Linked DNA regions of Tamandua tetradactyla. The protein of the gene in region 1 purifies or fractionates together with the protein of each later gene. This does not show direct contact. Links are inferred from orthologs where the notes say so. Each region holds a gene or a part of one and is shown on either strand. Other genes may lie near its edges.

Region 1 (8,006 bases):
CTCCTCCTCTTCGTCAACCTCCCAGTCAATAACCTGGGTATCTTCCATGACCTGGGAAAGAAACACATTATCATTGTCCTCACCATTAGTTCATACACACACAACATCAGAGAAGAAATTGATAACTGGAGGTAAAACTGGATAGTTGTGGAAACTGATGCTTCTTTTTCTCTCATTCATTCTCTCGATAGTCTTTTGAAGTATTTCTCAAACATTTTTGATGATGACATAAAGTAGAAAATGATATGGCTCCTGGTACAGATATATTTAAACCTTTGTGCTTATTTATAAAAATACGGTTTTGAGAAATAATGCTAAACCCTACTATTTACAATACACTGATATCTTTTCATTCTTTTTTTAAATTCTCTGTTTTTTAAATGCTAATTTGCAAACCACTACACTGATTTCACTATTTACTCTTGGGTCATAATTCAGTTTGAAAAACATAATTTTTCTTTTTTTTTGTATGGGCAGGCACCAGGAAGCCAACACGGGTCTCTGGCATGGCAGGTGAGAACTCTGCCACTATGCCACCTTTGCCCACCCTGAAAAACATAATTTTAAAGGGAACAAACGTTTGCTGAACATTAACTATGGCCCAGGCATTGTGTTACATGTCTGGCATTAACGGCCATATGAGAAAGGCATTTTGGAAACTAAGACTAAAAATATTAAATCATTTGCTCAGGATAACACAGCAAATGGAAAGGACAGGAATAAATGTGCTTCTGGCTGCAAGGTCCATGTGTTTTACACTTTGCCATATAGTGTGGTCAGAGAAAACTGCAAAGAATCACAATACCTGGTGACATACAGAGGCTTGCTTTGTGCAAAGCACTGTTTTAATTAATTCACACTGACTGATTCACTTAACCTGTACAAAACACTTTAAGGTAGCTGGTAGCTCCCATTTTTCTGATAAAAGAACCTGTGACACAGATGTGTTAAAGAACATGTCCAAGATCACCCAGATAATGTCTCGCCTCTGTCAATACCCGTTGAAGGCTTTCCATGATCCCAGGACAAAACAAAAACCTAAACTCTTTAGTAAAACCCTCAATTAGCTGAACCTCATGTCCAGCAATGCACTAACCTTCCTGCCCCAACAGCCTATGGTTCAGCCAAATGGGCCTTCTCCCCTATCTCTCAACATACTATCCCCGCATCTCCTTACACCTGCCTGCTTTAGCCCAGCTTGCCCTTGCCCTTCACTCCTAGTTTCCTTGTTCAACTCCCACTTATTCTTCAAAATTCCGTTTAAATGTCATTTCCTCAGCAAAGCCTTTCCAGGACGCCTGGTGGATCCTGTGTGTTCCACAGGGATCAATGGACTCGTGTCTCTCCTAACAGTTCTTATCACACTGGAACTATTACTTTCATTTGGGCCTTCAACACCCATTCGTGGGCAGGGCCATTAACCTTGCCCTCCTAGAGTTACATCGCCGAGCTTATCGAAAAAAGAACAAATGGAAGGAGATGTAAACTCAAAATAACACGGGTAGAATCCACTTAAAAAGATGCCACCCTAGAGAGAAACCATTGACTGGTGACAAGTAGGAAAAAGTGTTAACTCCGACCCTGTGAACAACTAAGCGGGTCCCCCACGACCCTTGACTCCAACCCAAGGGCCACCATCTTGGAACCTTACACCAATGGGTCCCCTCAGGATCCAACGTCTCCCTGCGTCTTCGGACCTAAGCTCGGGGCGGGGCGTCAGGTGCGGATGGGCAGGACAATCCCAGAAGCAAACTTCCGAGTCGCCTCCGCCCAGGCGCCCCTAGGGCACGCCCCTCCCGCCCTCCGGGAGAATCAAGATGGCACCCGGGGAGCAGCGGACTGGGCGTCCAGAACTCACCTACTTTGAGTCGTCGCGCGCGCCGCTAGTAACGGCCGCGATCCAGGTGGCGCGAGCGCGGACGCCGGGAAGGAGCCGATTCGCTGATTGGCTCCTGAGGCTGTCTTCACAGCTCGGCTGCACGCTGATTGGGGGAGCCTCCCGCGCTGAAGCAGCCCAAACTCCACCCCCGGCATGCCCCACCCCGCCCCGCCCGGGCAGCTTCTCGCAGGACACTGCGAGACACTAATCCGATGTTGCTCTGCGCGCAGGCAACTACGCACCTCGATTGGGCAGTTCCAAGGGACAACCCACCGCCGCTTCACCGCTCACTGCCCACTTCCCGCGCAGATTTCCAAACCGTGACCATAGAGTTTGGCGCCCGCTGCTTGCGGAGGATAGAAGGGCTATACGATAGCCATCGCTCAATGCGTTTGGTGCGGCCAGGGCGTCCTTTCTCGGTCCTCCCAGACATGGTGTCCGCTGACTCATGAGAAGTGGGTTGCGGCTTGCAGTCGTGGCTGCAGGCTGCAGTGCGAACAGGCCGTAGGCGTGGCGCTTGAGGACTCCTCATAGCAATGGAATTTCATTTCCTTTTGACTTGTCTTGTTCTGCAGAGGTCATGTCATTTCTTCTTGGGGATACATCACTGACGGAGATTTTGAGGTCATTTTCCTAAAGCACAGATCCCTAGGCGAACAGAGAGAACTGCTGGGCTAACCGTCTTAAAAGGATTACTGAGATCTGTCCGCACCTTTCAACGAGTGGGAGGATAATAAAATCATTTCAGTATCTCAAGCTGACATGAAAAGAATTGCAGCACTTTGAAATGCATTTATTTTTCCCATTAGTTCTCATTTAATTCTGACCACATAATACAAGAGGCAGAACTAGATTTTAACAAACGTAGGAATTGAAGCTCTGCGGTTTAAACGACTTGCCAAGGTTCCTAAAGCTAATGTAAGGTAGAGATAAATTCGAAACAAGTCCTCTAAGTTCTAAACTCTTTCCACTGCCACAAAATAATGGCTTTCGTTGTGATCATGGTATAGAACATAAAATATTCTATCTAAAGTGACTAGATGAGGAAGGGTCTTACACAACTTGATATTCCATTATTTAGAAGGTGACTTGAGAAATGTATTAAATCCAATGTGAATTAACAATGACGACCTTGAAATCACATCTCTATTATAGTGCTTCCCACACTATTGTTACTATGTTTATCCAACTCTCATCAAACTGAGGTCCTGGAAGACAGGACGCTAGTTCTTAATCATTTTTGTATCTCTAGCTTCTGGTTTGATGAACACGTAATATCTATCAAATGACTGGATATTTGGGAACAAAAGGCAAGCTACTGTGACATCATCCCATCCAATTTTTAAGATTATTTATATTATATATTCTCATACCATGTAATCATCCAAAGCGCACATTCACAATATCATCATATAGCTGTGCTTTTATAATCACAATCAACTTTTTTTGTGAAAAATAACATATACAAAAAAGCAATAAATTTCAAAGCAAATGGCAACAATTAGTTGTAGAACAGTTTTCAGAGGTTGGTATGGGTCACACTTCCACAATTTTAGGTTTTTACTTCTAGCTGCTCTAAGACACTTGGAGATGAAAATAAATATCAATGTAATGAATGATTCAGCAATCATACTCATTTGTTAAACCCTACCTTCTCTGTATAACTACACCATCATCTTTGAGCTTTCTCCCACTCTCTAGGGGTATTTGGGCTATGTCCATTCTAACTTTTTCACGTTGGAGGGGGCTGTTGAAAATATGGGATGGGGGATGGAACCAGTTGATGTTCTGGAGAGGATGGCCCCTCTGCATTCAGGATTTATCTTGTCCAGGGACCCATCTGGAGGTTGTAGGTAACCCTAATGCACGGAACTTTGGTAGAATCTTATATATTTCCCTGGGCACTCTTAGGATTGGCAAGAATGATTTTGGTTAGGGTTTGGCAAGTTATGATAGGTAACGATGTCTAACTGAAGCTTAAGAGTGACCTCCAGAGTAGCCTCTCGACCTCTCTCAGCCACTGATACCTTATTTGTTACACTTCTTTTCCCTTTTGGTCAGAGTGGCATTGTTGGATCCCATCCGATTTCTCCTTACCAATCGATCCCCCCATTCTCCCCATTTCATTTGTAGCTCTTGAAGTTAGCTACAAATGAAAGCAGCAAACTGAAAAAACATTGCCTTCATCAAAGTACCTAGAAAGGCAAGCTGGAAAGACCCTGCTATTTCTATCAGACATATAACTCCATAGTTCCTTGCTTGACAAGAAAACCAAGATGTCTACAACGCCCACATGAGGCCCAGATTCCCTACTGGACTGAAACTTCTGGCTTCACAGTACTCTGACATCAACTTGCCTAAACCATTCAACTTATTCTTTGAACATACCCTCCAGCAGCTACATCTCTATCCTGGAAAGTCCTTGCTGCAATACTGTTTCTCTTTCGAAACATCATTCGAAAATTCTCAAGCGAATAAATAAGAGAAGGACAATCCCCAACTGCTTCCTGAGGCGCAGTGGTTTACTGGAGTTCAGGTTTGGTCAACAAAGAACCAGACGTCGGGTAGCAGAGCAGGGTGCCGCATTTCTCCCCAGTTTTCGCTGAACTAAGCATTCCTATCTTTTCAAGAGCTAAGGCAGCAGGGAGCTTTCTGGGCGTGCCCACCCCACTTCCCAACGCCTGGCATCTCAGTCTTCCCAATTCCTGTATCTTCGAAAACTCCCTTTCTGTGCAAAAAAACTCAGGAGTAAAGAAAGCGATCTTGCACAAGGTCATCATTTTTCATTAAAAGAACAAAAGAAAACGAAACACAAAAAAAATCACCCGGTACCCACCCTTTAGTCACCTCATTTTGCGGCGTGGACAACAATAGAGGACTACAACTCCCAGAGAGGAGCGCGCTCGTCCACTGCGAGTCGAGACCAATGGACGGCTGGTATATGACTGCCATCAACTAATCAGGGCCAGCGTGGATGAGGCTTTGTCTCCCGACCGCCGCGCGGGGCCGGTTCTCCCGCCTCCCAGCCGCCGCGCACGCGCGCCCCGCCCTGCCCGCCTTCCCTCCCTCTCCCTCCCCCCTCCTTCTTTCTCCCTCTCAAAGCCTTCCTGCTGCCGCGTTCGGACCTTGCTGCTCCAGCCTCCGGGCCACGAGCCATCCTGCCAGCTTGCGACCCGCGGAGGGAAAGATTCCATATCATTCTCTTGCCCCGCACACACTTTGAGGCGAGCAAAAAGTTAAAATAAATTTTAACCATGAGGGAAATCGTGCACATCCAGGCTGGTCAGTGTGGCAACCAGATCGGTGCCAAGGTAAGGATTTTAAATCTCTTTAACTGTATTTCTTTTGAGCAGGAAGAAGGAAAGCCTTAAATTATGAAGAATGATTGTGGGATATTCGTGCTCTCCATCCTTAAGCTGGGGGGGGGGAAGTTTTATACATATTTGTGGCTAGAATTTGCCTTTGGAAAATGGGGGATTATTTTTCTTGGCAGGCTCACTTTCGGAAAGGACCCTTCGGGTTTCGGGGGCGGGAAAACCGAGGAGTTGTAAAATTGCACTTAGAGGATCTCCTAACGGTCCGAGGACTGGGGAGCGAGATGCGGAAACCTCCCGAGACAAAGCGAGGCGAGCCTGCCCCATGTGCATCTCGCGCTCGCCCCCCCCCCCCCTTGGCGGGAGTTCCTAGGGCGAAGCCCGAGGGGGAAGGGGCGAGGCTGGGCGGGCAGCTGCAGAGGGCGTCTAGCCTAACTGGGGGTGGGGTGGGGTACAATGCGCCATGTGGACTGCTGCCCGGCCCCCTTAACAAAAGATAAGGGACCCCCGCACGGCTCCGGTCCCTGTAGTTTTAAGTGAATGAAAGGATAAAATGTACGTGATCAATTTTATTTCATTTTTCCTTAACGAGATCCTTTAACGGAGTGAACAGATAGGGAGAGGGTGGAAGAAAAGGAGGGAGCATGCCCGCTTAAAATAGCCGTAGGAGACTAAGTGGGAGAGGGGCAACCCTCCTTTAAAGCAAGAAAAAGAAACTTAGCGAAGGAATAAAATTCCAAGGCCTAGGGTTTTTTTTTTTTTTTTTTTTTGCGCGCGGTTACAGTGTAGCGGGGGAGGGGACGGGAGGAAGTGCCGCTGCTACGTTGTAGCAGAAGGGCGGGCCCGGCGGGGCGGGGCGCCCTAGGCGCGCGAGGACAATGCGGTCCTGCTGGCCCGCGGGGGCGCGCGAGCCCCAGCCGGGCGCCGCCCCACGCGCCCGTAATTCAAGCCCTTGGCCCCGCCTCTCCCACGCGCGACGCCTCCCATTGTCGGCGGCTAGACCCGCGCGTGCGCTGCAGTCACATGAAGGCCGAGTTGGGGGCCTGGGCTGCAGCTGCAGTTCTGCGTCCAGCGGCCCTTTGTTTGCTGCGTGGAGGGGCGGGGCCCGGCGGGGGCGGGGCTTACCTAGGCGGGTCCGCCTGCTCCCTCTCTCTTCCCCCACCCGGGTGCCTGATACCTCCGGGTCCTCTCAGTCCCACATCACTTTCCCCAAACCGTGAATGAGCTGAATAAAACACAGAAGCTGCAGCTTACCCCGGGGCTGTGGGTGTCTAGGGGAAGGGTGTGGCTGGGGGATTGAGGGGATGCCGGGCCCTCGTACAGCACCTACCATGGGCGCGACTGGAATTAAAATAGGGGAAAGAAGGTGATAGTTGGGATCTGAGCGGTTGTGGGCTCATTATTCTTAACCGGCAGTTCTGGGAGGTCATCAGCGATGAACACGGCATCGACCCTACCGGCACCTACCATGGGGACAGCGACCTGCAGCTGGATCGCATCTCCGTGTACTACAATGAAGCCACAGGTGAGAGAAGGTGCCCCGAAGGCTTGGGGTCCTATATTATCCTGCTTCATGTCTCCATTCCCGAGGAACCCCCTTTGGATGAATCCTCGTCCTTTGGAGACCTTTCATTTTGATTTCTTCCCCGTCTCCCACCTGGAACCAAAGCTTAGTTCTGCTGCCACCTGGTGGCAGGGTTTGGAATCACAAGTCTAGGTCTCAGGCTCTTTCCTAACCCTAATATGTTATTTATCTTCCCCACCTGCCAATTCTCATTCCTGTACTTTCTCCCCTATAGGTGGCAAGTATGTTCCTCGTGCTATCTTGGTGGATCTAGAACCTGGGACTATGGACTCTGTTCGCTCAGGTCCTTTTGGCCAGATCTTCAGACCAGACAACTTTGTTTTTGGTGAGTTGTTAGTAGATACCATCATATTCAATTTATTTAGGTGTGTGAAAATAGAAAAGGTTTGGAGGTAGTTGTAGTGGAGAGTTTTTAGAGAGTTATAAAATCTGAAGGAGGAGGGTAGTGGTGGTAACTGCCCTAACTAGTAAATTATGAGGATGGATACATTACAGCTGAGGGAGAAAGGAAATACATCTAAAGGAATTATTGTAAAAGATAAAAGGTAGATGTATGGTCACATAGCTTCCAAACCTTCTTAATTAAGCTTACCTCTGAACTCCTTTCCAGGTCAGTCTGGGGCAGGCAACAACTGGGCTAAGGGCCACTATACAGAGGGGGCCGAGCTGGTCGATTCGGTCCTGGATGTGGTGAGGAAGGAGGCCGAGAGCTGTGACTGCCTGCAAGGCTTCCAGCTGACCCACTCGCTGGGCGGGGGCACAGGCTCTGGAATGGGCACCTTGCTCATCAGCAAGATCCGTGAAGAGTATCCTGACCGTATCATGAACACCTTCAGCGTGGTTCCCTCACCCAAAGTGTCTGACACAGTGGTTGAGCCCTACAATGCCACCCTCTCGGTCCACCAGTTGGTAGAGAACACAGATGAGACCTACTGCATTGACAACGAAGCCCTCTACGACATCTGCTTCCGCACCCTCAAGCTGACCACACCAACCTATGGAGACCTGAACCACCTCGTCTCAGCCACCATGAGCGGTGTCACCACTTGCCTTCGCTTCCCTGGCCAGCTCAATGCTGACCTCCGTAAGCTGGCAGTCAATATGGTGCCCTTCCCCCGTCTCCACTTTTTCATGCCTGGCTTTGCCCCTCTGACCAGCCGTGGCAGCCAGCAGTACCGGGCTCTCACTGTGCCCGAACTCACCCAGCAGGTCTTCGACGCCAAGAACA
Region 2 (7,987 bases), on another chromosome or scaffold:
ACTTCCCACAAAGATATCTTTTTAGCAAAAAACAAAAAGGTATATTTCATTTGATAAATAGTGATATTTCCTGCTATGGTAAAAAAACTAATGACTGGAAAAAACACACAAAGAAAACAATTTGTTGACAAACTAAAATGCAGTCTCATTGACAACCATGGCAGGAAAACAGGGGGTGTGGGGGGTGGGGTAAAAGGCTGAAGATTAGAAAAAAAAGGCGTTTGAACAACAGGCAACATGAAAGCTTTGCTGTGCAGTTGGATGGAAGCATAGATGTTTCTACACTTTCTTTAGCTTTTGGTATTTGTTAAATTCCGTTCAATAACAAAATATACAAACAACTACTTTTTTTGCCTGTGCCACCCAAGTAACGATATATCAAAGAATGTGTATTTTTGCCAGGGAACAACTTCTTTAATAAAAGCAATGTTTTATGAAAAATTGATACAGTTGTTATAACTGAAATTTTAAAAAGGAATTTGAGCATAAGTATAGAAACAGGACTGTATGTGATAATTTAGTATAAAGGACATCTTTATGGCTTTAAAATGCAGTTTATTTCTACACACTTTGAAATGAGGAGAGTAGCTACAAAAATCTTTTGTACAACACAGAAGGTTGATATTTATATAGCAGCAACCTTTTTTGTTTCCATGATGACTGATAGCTTCTAGTAGCATGTTATGTATTAGACATCTCTTTTAAAAATTAAATCTAATCTTTTCCTTTAAGGTATAACGGTAACCAAGAAATTTACTACTTTTCAAAAAGAATTTTGTGCTACGAAGAGAGTATTAAAAAAACAGAAAATTTGAAATGTTTCCAGTTTTGTGATTTTTTTCTGAAAACATTAAAATTATTAGTCACCTATAAAACCCTTAATATGTGCACATCTAAATTTTATGTATGCAGCATTTTTTCGTTTATTTAAAAATCTTCCAGATGAAGTGTCTCAGTGGGTTTTGAAACCATTTGCTAAAACTTTATGAATCTTACATTTCCAGTTTACAAGGAAAACTGACAAGAGAATACAGACATTTACTTGCCAAAGTAGATCAACGGCCCTTTTTTTAAAACTGATGGATGGCACTGAAAAACCAGTGTTAGAATTTAGAAACTGCTTAGTTTCCATTTTTAACCTTGTATTTTGTGAGATATCAGCTACTAAAGCCCAAATCCAAATAAGCTCTTTAAACTGGTCCTCTGAATTACTAGCTCATAAATTATTTAACAAAAAATTAAAAAATTAGGAAGTATATTCAGTCCTATTGCTGTTTAGTTCTACCATTAATATAGCAAAATCCAAAATTATTTTTTACCATTTAAATTTAATCTTTATGTTGTATGTTCTGCTTTATAAAGAAAATAGATGTACATGTATTGGGGTACATGCTCAAATGTTCCTTTTTTAGTAATGAGATGTACAAACAAGTCTGACAGGTCCACTGGTTAGCAGATTATTAAAATCAAATGTTTGTAATTGTAGTTTAGTAATGTCAAAAAAAAAAATCCCTAAAATAGTTTTCCTAAGGAAAAAAAACTATATTGGTAAGTAATACAAATTTGCTTTAGAACCATTAATACAAGGAAAAGAAGGATAAAAAACACTAGAAATAATCCATGTTAAAATTTTAGTGCATTCCTTTGAGGATTTTACTTTTTGGATATTTCTGCATCTTTCTTTTTCACAAACATAAGTATATTCTTCATTTAAAATTGTATGCATAGACGACCTTTATACCTTACAGAATTTTAAAAACTAAAATTTAAAAGAACTTTTGGGACAGAGATTAAAATTTAAATGACTAATACTGGGAGGTTACTTTCTGCTGTGAGCAAGGCTGAAACTTCATAATCAACCCTGTGTAGGATTATAAGATTTGTTTAATTTAATCCATTCACTGTCATTTTCATGGCCTTTATCTAGATCTCAAATGTGTGGCTTAATTATGTAGAGAAGTTACCAAGAAATAGATGACTAAATTTTGCGGTTTTCAACTTGCTTTATCTTTATATGTCCTAAATAACAAGACAAAGAGATTAAAGGGAACTAAGATTTCGGTAAGGCTTTTGTTTCTGTTCAACATTACAAGTGTATCTGAAACTGATATTGTATGGTTTATAATGTAAATTATCCTGTGCCCAAAAGGATAGACAATAGACCCCAGAGAGTGATTATTAGTAGAGTCATCATATCTTTGGAATCAGTTTATCTTTTAGTGGGGGGATCTTAGACCTACTTTCATACAATTTCTTTTTTTTTTTTTTTTTATCAATGACTAATGTTATGAGAAAAACATTCATTGACACTGTACACAAAACCTGGTTGGGAAATGATAACTAAGAAGAGGAAGTAACTTTCTTAATGACCAGATCAGAATCAAAATGACACAGAAAATTGGAGAAGTAGTAAGAGGCAAACAAAATAAGTAAGACATAGTGTGGGCTAAAATAAGAAAAACAAGTTTCAAAAAGAGGAATAGCTAACTATTCTCAGTAACACAGAAAATAATTTAGGGATTAAAACAACCAGCAGACTAGGATCAATAATGTTGTGCTTGCTATTGTTTAAAAGGCAAAAACAATATTGTTAATTGTATTCCTTACTAAAAGAGATGTGTTCTCTAAACTGCTTTCTTGTTGGGCATCTCTTTTCACTTTAAGAACAAATGTGAAGACCTTACTTACCCACTCAAATGACTGAAATAGTTAACAGGAAAAACTAGTTTCATTGTCAGATTGAAGAAAGAAGATACTTTTTTTTCTGCCCTAACAGATGAAGTAAATGAAGAAAGGGGTGATTGAATAAATAGGAACATACAGTTATAAAGATGAAAACCTACTGGATTCAGGCTCTCAAATCCTGAATCTCAAGTACTTTAATAAAAAAGTGGATCAGTTGTACTCTACTTTCATGAAAGACTGAGAGAATGAATTTAAATTGTATTAGGAAGAAGTTAATTTACAATAGATATAAAAGATCAGATAAAAAGGGCTGATTGAAAATTGGAACAATTGAATTTCCATGGATACAGATCCATTTTTTTTTTAAGTGGTGAAATGTGATACATGGAAGGAAGAAATATAACATTTTTAATATTCTGGTCAGATCTCAAGTTTTACTGCCTAATGCAGTAACTAGAGTAATTTGCACAAGGACTTGCAAAGTCTAAAAGAGGGGGCAAGTTTTCTGTTACTGAAACTTCTGGTACTGTCAGGAGGCATTTCTTTTGAAGTATGGTAATTGTGTTGCATCTTTTAAGTGCACATGAACTGCAGATATCTGAATGCAATATCGGACTGCACAGACAGAGGGTTTCTTAAGGAAGCAGGGATCCTGTTTTATTTTCCTGATGCTCCTCTATGCCGCTTTTTTCTTTTTAAAATTTTTGTTTATTGTACAAGAGATATATATTAATTACAGAACACTTCAAAGATAGAGATAAACAAGGACTAAAAACGCATGTGAAATTTCACAATTGCGGGTGGGTGGGGGGAATCAATGGACATTTTGGTATATAATTTCTCATATTTTTCGGTATATATATGTAATTGTATATTATGAAATATACTTATATGTATTTTGAACGTTTATAAAAATCGTAACTTATATCTTTGTAATCTCTTTCTTGATTTAACATCATACACAGTATTTCCTACTACATCACTTAAAGCCTGCCGAAATTTACATAACCAATCCCCTACATTTAGTCATTTGTTTCCAATTTTCCATTATTATAAACAACTGCAAAATCCATCTCCCACATTGGATTTTAAAGCAAGAAAAGCATTGGAACAAGGAGGAAATCCAGGGCATCTACTCATCCAACATGTTTAATGAACACAGGCTGGGAACTGGGAAAAGAGAGGTGGCTAAGGTCTCCACCTCAATTAACTTCCAGTCTCATGGAGTAGAAAGAAAAACAGTTGAGGAACAGGAGGCAAGAAAATGCCTCTTTCAAAAGTGAATTCAGTTTGAAAGAAAGTTGCGGGATCAAGGGTTATCTGCATATATATTGGATAGCTAAAGCAGTTTCTACCATTAAATAGCCCAACGGTTAATAACTATTAGGTTTATGTATAACAATGTCAATACGCATCCACAGTAGCCACTGCTCTAGAAGCTACACAGACAGTAAACCCGGGCACAAGGCTCCGCAACCTCTCCTAGGATGTAGAAAGAGAGGAAACGCCCTCCCCCCGGCCTGCTGGCGCTACCGCGCGCCCGGGAACAATCCCACCGCCGGAGACGACCACCCTCCTCTCCCGGCTCCTTCGCCACTGCCTCACGCCCTACGCTAGGCAGTCAAAAACAAGACCTCCATCCAATGATTCCGACTCGGAGAAGCCCTGAGTATGGTTTTGAATGCTCGCACGATGGTCAGAGCGAAAGGGAAAAACAAACTTTGTTGCACGTTAACTTGGTTAGAGGAAAGCGACTCTCGGGAGCGATTTAAGTGAGGTTAAAACTGTATGCAGTGTTTCTGAGAAACACCGTTTTAAATGAAGAATAAAGGGGCGAGATTGTCTATCCCAGGCTCGAAGGCAACAGAATCCGGCAGGATGCTTTCAGCAGGTGGCCAGTCGGCCGCCTCCCAACCTCCTCCAACTCCTGCTCGGTTTTGACCGTACGGTTCCGCGGCGGCTGGGGGGAAAGTATTCTCCACGCTGCATATTCCCATCAATGGGATTCCCCTCGTGGGAAATGCCTCTTCTTAGCAACACGCGCCCTCGAATTGCCGGACCGGCACCGCCCTCTCCTCATCCCGGGTGGGCGCTGAGAGCTGCTCCGAGACGCGGGGCCACCGGCCACGCGCCACCCAAAGACGCTCAGGCGAGCAAGGGGCGGAGGAGATGCAGCCGGGGCGGGGAGGGGGAGGGCGGGCACGGCGCGCGGGGAGGGGAAGGGGTTCTCGCGCGATTGGGCGAGGTTTCCGGTGTTGTGACTGAAACCCGTCAATATGGCGGCGATCGGCCGCGGCCGCTCGCTTAAGAACCTTCGAATACGAGGTAAGCCTGCTGCAGCCCTCGCCGCATGCCGTTCGGCGCCCGCTACCCCTGGCACTTGCCTCCCCCTGGTCCTGGGTGGAGGGAGCGAACCGGGGCGCTGGCTGTATCCAAGGCTGCCGCCGCTGGCCTGCGAGCGAATCCTAAGTGGGTTGTGTGTCTGTGTTTCTCGCAGGGCGGAATGACAGCGGCGAAGAGAATGTCCCGCTGGATCTGACGCGAGGTAACTCACGGCGCCTCGGGCTCCCGCGAGGGCGTGCTGGTGGGGAGGAGTCGGGGCCGGGGGCAGGGGCCGGGGCCGGGGCCGGGGCCGGGGCCGGGGCAGGGGCGGGCTCCCGTTCGGGACCGGCGGGTGCGGGGGCAGAGCCGGAGCCCCGCCTGCCGGCCCGCGGGAACCGAGCCCGGGGCCGCCTCTCCGGACCGTCCCCATCCCCCTTCTTGGTGCTACTTCCCTTGCCCCTCGCCCTCCTCCCGGCCTCGGGTGCTGCGGTTGCTGGGAGCCCCCAGAGGGACTCGGCGGGCCGGTGACCCTTTAGATTCCCTGAACGCCCCGGAGCGTTTTACCCCTATCCCAGAGATCGTACAGTTGAATCCTGGGGGCGGCCGAAGGGAGGTAGAGTTGTTATTTAGGTTGCAAGAGGATGTCTGAGGGAAGAGCGACCACATCCTGCCCTGCCGGTCCCCCGGATCAGAAACTGGACCTTCTCAGTGCTTGCTGATTGCGTGACTGCTTTTCTCTTTGCCCACCGCCTTGGGGGACCCCAGTGTTGATAACTCGGTATTGAGTCCTGGAGCGGATCCTCGCTGCTAAGTGTATAAACTGTATTCCCTCCTGCTTTCCTTTCTCGGCCGCTGGGACAGTAGTTGGCAAAGACTGCCCCCTTACCCTGATGCAGGTTCATTGTTTACCTTCTGCAGTGGAGATGGGTTTGTTTACACCTTCTGAACTGGGTAAACCCCGGTTATATTTTTAAGGGACTAATCCTGCTACAAGTCAGTATTTCTATTACCAGTCGACGTACTGGAGTTTATTCGACGATGTCTTGTTGACAATTTATTAGTAATATACATGATTTTTCTTTTCCACAGTAAACTCGATTTCGTTTACTGATTCCAACATTCCTATTTCATACCTACTATAGCTTAGTGTAATCTGATTCAGGTACACAAATCACTTTCCGTTTTGAGATCTGAAAAAACACCCTAGGAAGTTATTAAAAAAAAAAAGTCGTTGTAAACATTCTATATGAAATAAAAGTTTTTGCTTTTTTACCCTTTGTTGTACTTGACATAATTATTCTTATCTACAGAATTTGTTAGAGGTGGGATTATTGTTGAGTCTCATATCTATATTTAAAGAATAATGAATTATCTTTTATTTTGTTTAGCATAATGTAAGATTACCCTTAGAAACTGTAGGATTAGTTTCTTTGAACTATAAGAGTGCATTTCTGTAACGATATTTTATTCTGAAAGTTCGAGGATTAGGTTTCTGTAAACATATATCCTTTACAGGCAGAAGAGTTTCTAAAATACAACATAGTAGGGCTTAAATAATAGAAATGGGGATTAATTAGATCGTCAGTGTACTAAATCAGAACATTTTTTCCAGCAGATAGGTTTTGAGAATTAGTGTAGAGATGTAAAGTTTTTGACTTTTGTATGACAGTTTAGAAACTTGACTGTATGTGGTATATAACACACATATGAGAAATATGAATAAAATATATGTAGAAAAAGATTTCCTTATAAACTTCCTAACAAAATGAACGTAATTTCTTCAAGAGCAGAAACTTGGCAATCCAGTCCTGTAACAGATGTAGTGTTAGTGATTTAATTTATCTATGAATGTATGTTTTTTAGATGGAAGTGCATAGAGTACTTATTAGGTAGATTTTATTTGTGCGTTAAAAACTTGCTAGGATGTGGTGCTGACTATAAGTAATGACTGTGTTTTAAGCTGAGTTTGCCGAGGTTTTATATATAGTGAGTTCTCTGATTAGTGCCAGAATTCTGGGTTGTACAAGATTATGGTTGTACAAAATTATGTAGGAATTTGATTTGATGCTATTAGTTTGCTGCAGTTTCACTTAAGTATACAGATAACTCTGTTTTTACTATTTAAAATGGTATATTCCTTAAGCAGTTTATAAACTCCTACAATGTCCATAGATATTTCCAGGGTAATATAAACTGTGCAGAAAATGCTGTTTCTATTTGCCCTAACAATATTTACTTCAGTTCGTAGTAAAATATACACAGTCAATTGAAACTGAAGGCAAAGGCAATATACAGTTAAGTGTGAAAGGTTATATGAGGACTGTATTCCTAAATTCTAAGGAAATTTAGAATATAAAAAGTAATCTGAATTAGATTCATTATATAGTGACACTATTGTTTAAACAAATTGTTACTCTGACACACATTTCCTTGTTAAAAGAAGGCTTATGGATCTAACGTGAAAGTTCATGAGAAATTAAACTTTAGGAATAACTTCAGAAAAGACATAGTTGGTTGGAGCTAAAGAGTAGCAGTTTTTGGATTAGATTACAATATGTAATGATGGCTTGGCTTACCTTGCCAAATTGAGGTCTGGGAGAATTTCTTTGGTTTTGGTACTAAAGCTTCGTACTGGGTGCTGGTACTGAAACATAGTATTAGTGCTCATAAATAGTGTACCTTAATTAAAAATTGTTAATTGAAACCTTTTAACCTAGTTTAGGAACTTTATTGTCATAGATTGTACAATTTATTGGTAAATGTTGCTTTCAGTTTTGTTTAGACAACTACCTAATTTGTGAAAGATCCTGAAATTTGCTAATATATCATTATTCTATTTTGCATGCTCACATCTATTTTGAAATCCAAATGCTTCCCTTAGCCACTTCCCTTCTAGGAGAGACCATTTTTTATCATTTCAGTAGTGCATTTGTTCCTGATACTGAATAACTTATCTTTCTAATATAGTTTAATTATTTTA

Evidence for each region.
Region 2: the proteins of TUBB (region 1) and RICTOR purify together in Homo sapiens (affinity purification with mass spectrometry; 3 studies listed by BioGRID and IntAct, with this or other methods). This does not show direct contact. The link is inferred for Tamandua tetradactyla from reciprocal best matches to the Homo sapiens genes TUBB and RICTOR.

The regions. Positions count from the first base shown.
Region 1 is NC_135331.1:85,601,550-85,609,555, forward strand, and holds the start of TUBB (tubulin beta chain), read left to right. Parts: upstream 1-4,952; 5' UTR 4,953-5,133; coding exon 5,134-5,190; intron 5,191-6,609; coding exon 6,610-6,718; intron 6,719-6,992; coding exon 6,993-7,103; intron 7,104-7,388; coding exon 7,389-8,006. Other genes in the region: MDC1 (mediator of DNA damage checkpoint protein 1), read right to left, coding at 1-48. UniProt on the Homo sapiens protein: Tubulin is the major constituent of microtubules, a cylinder consisting of laterally associated linear protofilaments composed of alpha- and beta-tubulin heterodimers.
Region 2 is NC_135335.1:89,140,725-89,148,711, reverse strand, and holds the start of RICTOR (rapamycin-insensitive companion of mTOR), read left to right. Parts: upstream 1-4,935; 5' UTR 4,936-4,961; coding exon 4,962-5,010; intron 5,011-5,182; coding exon 5,183-5,230; intron 5,231-7,987. UniProt on the Homo sapiens protein: Component of the mechanistic target of rapamycin complex 2 (mTORC2), which transduces signals from growth factors to pathways involved in proliferation, cytoskeletal organization, lipogenesis and anabolic output.